2 linked regions of the Rattus norvegicus genome follow. The protein of the gene in region 1 purifies or fractionates together with the protein of each later gene. This does not show direct contact. Links are inferred from orthologs where the notes say so. Each region holds a gene or a part of one and is shown in the gene's direction. Other genes may lie near its edges. The genes, in order: Arpc3 and Actr3b.

Region 1 (3,810 bases):
TTCCAGCGTCCATACCCAGCAATTCATAGCTGCCTAGTTCCAGCTCCAGGGACCCCAGCGCCATCTGCTGGAGTGCGTGGATACTGTATACATACAGAAATACCCGTCCGCAGATACAAGCGTACACACAATTAAGATTATTTTTTAATCTTTAAAAAAAAAAGTCACACTGTCACTCGTATCTTGCACAGAAAAGGTGCCGAGCGGTCATTTGATGAATGAATGAATGAATGAATGAATGAATGGTTTCGTTCACACAAGACATGAAAAGCTAGTGGGAACCTGAGTAGAGCTTAGTTGGTAGAGCAAGCAGTTGCCTAGGGTGCCTGAAGCCCTGGTTTAGTCGCCAGTTCTGTGGTTATCTAGGCCCGTCATCCCAGCATTGGGCAGGGGAGGTAGAAGTTCAAAGTTGGTGCTGGAGAGATGGCTCAGTGGTTAAGAGCACTGACTGCTCTTCCAGAGGTCCTGAGTTCAAATCCCAGCAACTACATGGCAGCTTACAACCATCCGTAATGAGATCTGATGCCCTCTTCTGGTGTGTCTGAAGATAGCTAAGGTGTACTCATATAAATAAAATAAATTTTAAAGGTGTTCAAAGTCATCCTCACCTACATAGTGAGTGAGAGTGAGAGACCACCAGCCTGGGCTACGTGTTGTGGTTGAAGGGGCTGGGGGTGGGGAAACAAGTTCAAGGAAGAGTCATGTTGTGGTCATAAGGCAGGAAGTGGCAGATTTCAAAACTAGGGCTTGGGTCCTGGCTAGCTGGCGGGTGGGAAGCCTGTTTTGTGTGGTCTCTGCAGTGAATGTCTAGGGAACGGCTGTGCTCACTAACCAGCTGACAGAACGTCTCAGAATCCACCAGTCTGTTCTCTTGAGTCAGGAGCTGTCTCTCTGTAGCTGCCACCAGCCCTCTCCTCCCACAGTTGGTCCTGAGGGTGTTTTCCTTTGGAGGACTAGCCTTGTCTCCTAGTGACACTTGTTCTTTCTCCCCTGCTGGCTTCCTTCCGCAGGCTTACCACTCTTCTCTCATGGACCCTGACACCAAGCTCATTGGCAACATGGCACTGCTGCCCATCCGAAGCCAGTTCAAAGGACCCGCCCCTCGAGAGAGTAAGTCTCGCTGTCCTTTTGTTCGGGGTCAAGACAGACCTGCTGACTTGAGAACGAGCTTAGCTTGATTCACGTGTACTCAGCTTCCTGTTACACTCTACGGGGCGGCATCACAGTTACCCACGCCACAGGAAGCTGCTTTCTCAAAACCTAGGATGTTTGCGTGAGCTTAAAGGAAATGTGGCCGGGTTGGTAGAGACCTTGCTTGGCATGGAGGAGAGCCTGGGTCCCATCTACGGTACACTGAGAGCCAGGTGTTGGGGCGCACACCTATAATCCTAGCACTTGGGAGGAGGCGGCAGGAAGATCAGAAGTTCAAAGTCATTCTCAGCAAGTTCTAGGCCAACTTGGGCTACTTGAAACTCTGTCTCAAAAAAAAAAAAAAAAAAAAAAAAAAGAGGAAATGTGTTGAATTCTGGCCACAGTCCCCACAGGCACTGTCAGTCATTTCAGACTGGCTGAATGGCAGGTCCCCAGCCTTCTTCTGTCACCATGCTGGACAAAATAAGCAACAGACAGCGTTACGTGGGCACGGGCAGTACCTAGGAGGCTGAGGTAGGAGGTGGTTGGAGTCTGGTAGTTCAAGACCTGCCTAAGCAAGGGCGAAACCTGTCTCCAAAAATGGAAGGAAGTCCAAGGTGATTCCCTCTCCAAAGGGCTGACTGTGTGCCCTTTTCAGGGACGTAGCAACTTGGAAGAAAGCCAGGCATGCCCAAGGTCTCTGGTGAACAGGGAATACTTGTTTCCTTTGCCTTCCTTTGGCTGCCCACATATATAAAAATAATAATAATAATAATAATAATAATAATAATAATAATAATAATAAATAAAATTTACAAAAAATGGAAGGAAAATGAACCTTTCTCCACCAAAGCTATTATTTCTTTGGTCAACTTTAAAAACAAAAAAGTAGTCATTTTCTTTTCATTCTGATTTGTATGTGAGGGCCCATGTGAGCCACCGCCCACAACTGGAGGTGAGAGGATAATAAACCATAAATCACTAAACCACGTCTGACTTTACACTGAGTCCTGGGGATTCGAACTCAGGTGATCAAGCTTTCTCTGCAAGCCCTCTTACCCACTGAGCCATCTCTGCAGCCCTCTGTCAGTTTCTTACCATACCCCAGTGTTATTTAAGCCTTGCTTGGATATGTGAGAAGAAAAATCTCTCTCTGAAACCCTGGTGGGCCTGGAGGTCAAACAAGCCAGCCTCAGTTGTGGTGCTCCTGCTGCCTTCTTCCCCGGGTCTGGGGTAACAGGCGTGTGCTCCCTTCCTGCCTTCTTCCCCGGGTCTGGGGTAACAGGCGTGTGCTTCCGTACTTCAGTCTTTTTTTTTTTTTCCTTTAAGACTTATTTGTGTTTTTTTTTATTGTTTTTTTTTTTTGTTTGTTTGTTTGTTTTTTTTTTTGGTTTTTTTTTTTTTTTTTTTTTGGTTCTTTTTTCCGGAGCTGGGGACCGAACCCAGGGCCTTGCGCTCCGTAGGCAAGCGCTCTACCACTGAGCTAAATCCCCAACCCCTCTTATTTGTTTTATTTATATGAGTACACTGTTGCTATTTTCAGACACACCAGAAGAGGGCATCAGATCTCATTACAGATGGTTGTGAGCCACCATGTGGGTGCTGGGAACAGAACCCAGGTCCTCTGAAAAGCAGTCAGTGCCCTTAACCACTGAGCCATCTCTCCAGCCCATAACTTTGGTTTTTTTGTTTGTTTGTTTGTTTGTTTTCTTTTTTTTATCTTTATTAACTTGAGTATTTCTTATTTATATTTCGATTGTTATTCCATTTCCCAGTTTCTGGGCCAACATCCCCCTAGCCCCTCCCTCTCCCCTTCTATATGGGTGTTCCCCTCCCCATCCTCCCCCCATTACCGCCCTCCTCCCAACAATCATGTTCACTGGGGGTTCAGTCTTGGCAGGACCAAGGGCTTCCCCTTCCACTGGTGCTCTCACTAGGCTATTCATTGCTACCTATGAGGTTGGAGCCCAGGGTCAGTCCATGTATAGTGGCTTAGTCCCTGGAAGCTCTGGTTGGTTGGCATTGTTGTTCATATGGGGTCTCGAGCCCCAACTTTGTTGTTTTTTAAAGACAAGGTCTTGCTGTGTTGCCATGGCTGGCCACTGCACCTCATGGTGTCAGAGTTCCTAATGATCGGCTTCTGGCTATGGTGAGGTAGTGTCTCACTCAGAGCATTTAAATTGTGTACCCCTGAGACCAGAGGTGTTGAACACTTTTCAAGATAGTTACTGGCCATTCATGTTTTAGTTTGAAAAGTGTCTGTTTACTGGTCCATTTTGGTTGTGTGTGTGTGTTTCTTTTCTTTTTTTCAGAGCTGGGAACCGAACTCAGGGCCTTGCGCTTGCTAGGCAAGCGCTCTACCACTGAGCTAAATCCCCAACCCTGTGTATGTGTGTTTTAAGACAGAGTTTCTCTGTATAGTCCTCACTGTCCTAGAACTCATACTGTAGACCAGGTTGCCCTCAAACCACAGAAATACTGCCTGCCTCTGCCTCCAGCAGATCACAGCTTTGTTTCCCAGTCTGGTCTGAGAATTTTGGGGTTACCCACTTTTACCACCTGTTGTTAAGTGTTTGCAGTCATCAGGGTGCAATGTCCACTCCGCCCTCAGCTGTACTCTGGATTCCCCATTCAGTTCCTGAGGTAACTTTTCACTGTTCCCTAAGCTGACATGTCTTG
Region 2 (3,664 bases), on another chromosome or scaffold:
AAGGCATCCAGGAAGGCAAGTGTGGGGACTTGTGGTTCCGTGAAGGATGGTTTTTATTTTCTTTATAGTTTTCTCAAATGATATTTTCTGTCAGAAAGTTAAATGAGGGCAATTTCACTTTCGTTGTCCTAAGTAATATTCTGTAGCCTGAGAGAATGGAACTGTTAGCTTTCATGGTACCAGCCAGCCAGTTTAATGATTCTCACCCCGCCTCACCCACCAGACGGCTGGTGCAGTCACATGATAGAGGCTGGCGCATTCGTGGGGCTGTGGGCAGAGGGAGGACGCATTTGAAAATGTTCCCCGGGTGATTTGAGTGTGCCTCTTTTCCACACTGCTGCTCTGAAGGGGTTCCAGTGTGAGCGGAAGGCCCTGTTGCCCTGTTGGCTATTATGGCAAAAAGAATTGAAGATCCATGTTAGTGATTTGTGTGGAACCTGCCTGTCAGTGAATGTGGCTTTTCTGTCGTCTTGGCTCTTGTCAGGGTTCTGCCCCAGGGCAGGGGGAGCTCGGGCACACGCTGCTTTGTGCTTTCAATTGCTTACGGTGAAGGAAGTACCAGGGGAATGATTGGTGGCAAGCCGTCACAAGAAAAAAATATAACCCATGCCTTTTGGCTAAGTAAGGTCTCAGGTGAGGGATTCAAGGAAGTCAGTTATTAATGCTGTGGGTAATAGACATGTTGGAAACTCTGGGGAGTTCAGGCCCTGGTGACATAGACAGACAGACAGACAGCATGGCAGAGCTCTGAGGAGAATCAGCCTATGAGGCAAGAGTGCCTTTTTATAGCCCCTTTTCTCTGAGGAAGGATGAAAGTTTCTCAGGAAGATTCTGCAGCCAGGCTGTGTCTGATTCTCCCTGCAGATGAAAAGGGACAGCTCTCACTGTTAAAGGAAATCAGGACTTACTCTGGAGAGGACTTTACAGCACCAAGGCCCGGAAATGCAGATTGAGGCTACCCCAGGTTCCATGCTCCAATGTGGAAGCAATTTCAGAGTTTTACAGATCAAAGAAAGTTGTAGATCAAAAAAAGTTTAAACTACACTGGTGGGCACATAAGGGAGGTGGATACAGCAGGATGGGCGTCTGCGTTTCTGTAGGCAGATGCTATTTGCTAACTGCCTTAGTTAGCTTTTGGTTTGGTGGAAACTAGGGATCTTCTAAGCTAATACCTTACTTTTATACATCAGTCACAGGATGTTTGTTCTGGCACAGGGGTGGACAAGGAATGGTTAACCCAGGACTAAAGCTAGCCTGAGGTAGGCAGCTTGCCTCTGGAGCTGCAGCATCCCGACCTCTCCATGCCCCTGCAGTTGTACTGCCGTCGGAATGCAGGCGGTCCAGCAGCAGTCTGCCTTCAGCTCCCGACGGCAGGCGTTCATGCCTCAGTTAGTGTCTGCGTCTGCGTCAGTGTGCTGCTTACCCAGCAGCCCTGCTGTGGGGCAGTGATGAGACCATCACAGACAGCTTGGTGTCACCCGAGGCGGCTCACTGTCCACTTTGGTCTTTCAGAACATCGTTCTCTCTGGAGGCTCCACAATGTTCAGAGATTTTGGACGCCGTCTGCAGAGAGATTTGAAGAGAGTGGTGGACGCCAGGTTAAAGCTGAGCCAAGAGCTCAGCGGGGGCAGGATAAAGGTAGGAGGCTGTGTGCAGGCTGCTGTCCGCCATGTCAGTGTGTGTGTGTGGGGGGGGGCAGGCAGTGAGGTGTGATGCCCAAATTCACACGTCCAAAGGGAGACGTCCTTAAGACCACTCAGACTCTCTTTTGCAAGATGAGGCATCAGTGTGTGTGACCAGGGTGCTGCAGAGACAATGGTGAGGGAATAACCTGTGTGTGCAGGGAACCAGGCTGTGCTTCTCCAAGGCCACAGCTCTGAGCTGCCCGGTGCTGCATGGGCTTCTCCCTGAGGTGGGATTTGGTAGGGAAGAGGGAGCAGAGAGCCCAGTGCAGTGAGGTGCCCGTTACAATGTTTGTTTTGTTTTAGTGTTTGGGGGTTCACTTTGTTATTGACCTTGCTAAGCCCAATGATTTGTTTGATTAATGCTAGGTTAGTGATGTGTTTCAGTACTGGAAGAGGGGGCCTCAGCTAGGCACGAGCACGTCCTCCCCTGAATCTCCTGGGCTGACAGTGCGGTGCGGCTGAGGCCGTCACTGGAGGAGCTCAGGGTCCGTCATGGTCACACTGGTGGAAGGATGTACTGTGCAGACTAAACGCGGTTGCTTGCCTTTGCAGCCTAAGCCTGTGGAGGTGCAGGTGATCACACACCACATGCAGCGCTACGCCGTCTGGTTTGGAGGCTCTATGCTCGCCTCGACTGTGAGTCCCTTTCTCGACTGCTCTGTTGTCCTTCCTGCTTCCCTATGGAGTTTGGATACAAACACGAAACAGCATCTGTTCTGTTTGCATGGCCTTCAATAGGCAAAATGAATTCTGTTTGATGTAAAAATGTTTTAGCTACCATTTAAATTGTATGTCTCGTTAACACACACCCTACTCATTGTCCTTTCCAAGTTGTTGGTTGGTTGGTTATTTATTTATTTATTTATTTATTTATTTATTTATTTCCCCCTCAATGTTGTTGGCAGTTATTTTTAGTTCACATTGACACATATTTGAACCCAGTAAGGGAAACTGAGTAAGTTTATTGTTGCTTTCCAATGTTGGAAATTGCTGAGTGAATTTTAAAAAGCGAAATAAACTTCTGCCTGGTTTGTCACCAGGTTTAGAACAGTGCTTGGCAGGGGGACCTGGGGATAAGGATAGCCTCTTCCCCTGCTCATCATCTTCCTTCCGCTGGCTGCTTCTCCTGCAGCCGGAGTTCTTTCAGGTCTGCCACACCAAGAAGGACTATGAGGAATACGGCCCCAGCATCTGCCGCCACAACCCCGTCTTCGGAGTCATGTCCTAGTGTCTGCCTCAGAGCCATTGTCTTGACAGTGTCCTGTTGGGGAATAAGTGTCCTTCAGAACCCAGAGCAGCCTTGGCTCCTGTACATAGCAGTGTGGAATCAGTGTGTGAGCAGCGTGATTTCATGGCCGGTGCTCGGGGCCGGGCACAGTCTTCCCAGTAAAGCCATTTATCCGGTGCGACTGTTCGTGGTCCTCCTCCCATCCCCCTCCCCTCCTGCCCCTCCCACTCTCTCTCCTTTCCACCTGAGCTTCTAGGCGAGCATAGCTCTGAAGGAGTCCATTGCAACCTTAGAAACTACCAGAGGAACACGTGATGCAAGTGGTTTCTCCGGGACAGACTGAAGGGTGGAGGAACCCTGGCCTTCCCAGCCTATTTTTGTAAATAAAATGTTATAAACTTGAAATACAAATTGATGTTTATATTTCCTATCATTTTGTATTTTATGGCATTTGGTATAACCGGCTAATATTAAGCATGAGTAGTCACAGAGTTCATGGATGTCACAGAGTTCTGTAATAAAGTGCTTAATTGTGAGGCATGCTCTGATGTCTGTACAGGCAAGTAAAACAGCAGGCCCAATGCCACATGTCTGCTGGGCAGTGATCACATGTTGGTGGGGTGGTGTGACATCTGGGCACTCACCAGGACTGGGTGGGAGTTGCTACAGATGGATCTGAACTTCCTGAAGCTGCTTTATAGAAGATGATGGTTTATGTTGTTGAGTGTGGGATGAAATACTATTGCACTGT

What was found.
Region 2: the proteins of Arpc3 (region 1) and Actr3b purify together in Homo sapiens (affinity purification with mass spectrometry; 6 studies listed by BioGRID and IntAct, counting the BioPlex papers as one, with this or other methods). This does not show direct contact. The link is inferred for Rattus norvegicus from reciprocal best matches to the Homo sapiens genes ARPC3 and ACTR3B.

Annotation. Positions count from the first base shown.
Region 1 is NC_086030.1:39,840,908-39,844,717, reverse strand, and holds part of Arpc3 (actin-related protein 2/3 complex subunit 3), read left to right. Parts: intron 1-1,010; coding exon 1,011-1,110; intron 1,111-1,741; exon of another isoform or gene 1,742-1,884; intron 1,885-3,810. UniProt on the Homo sapiens protein: Component of the Arp2/3 complex, a multiprotein complex that mediates actin polymerization upon stimulation by nucleation-promoting factor (NPF).
Region 2 is NC_086022.1:9,995,582-9,999,245, reverse strand, and holds the end of Actr3b (actin-related protein 3B), read left to right. Parts: intron 1-1,512; coding exon 1,513-1,638; intron 1,639-2,237; coding exon 2,238-2,321; intron 2,322-2,817; coding exon 2,818-2,913; 3' UTR 2,914-3,091; downstream 3,092-3,664. UniProt on the Homo sapiens protein: Plays a role in the organization of the actin cytoskeleton.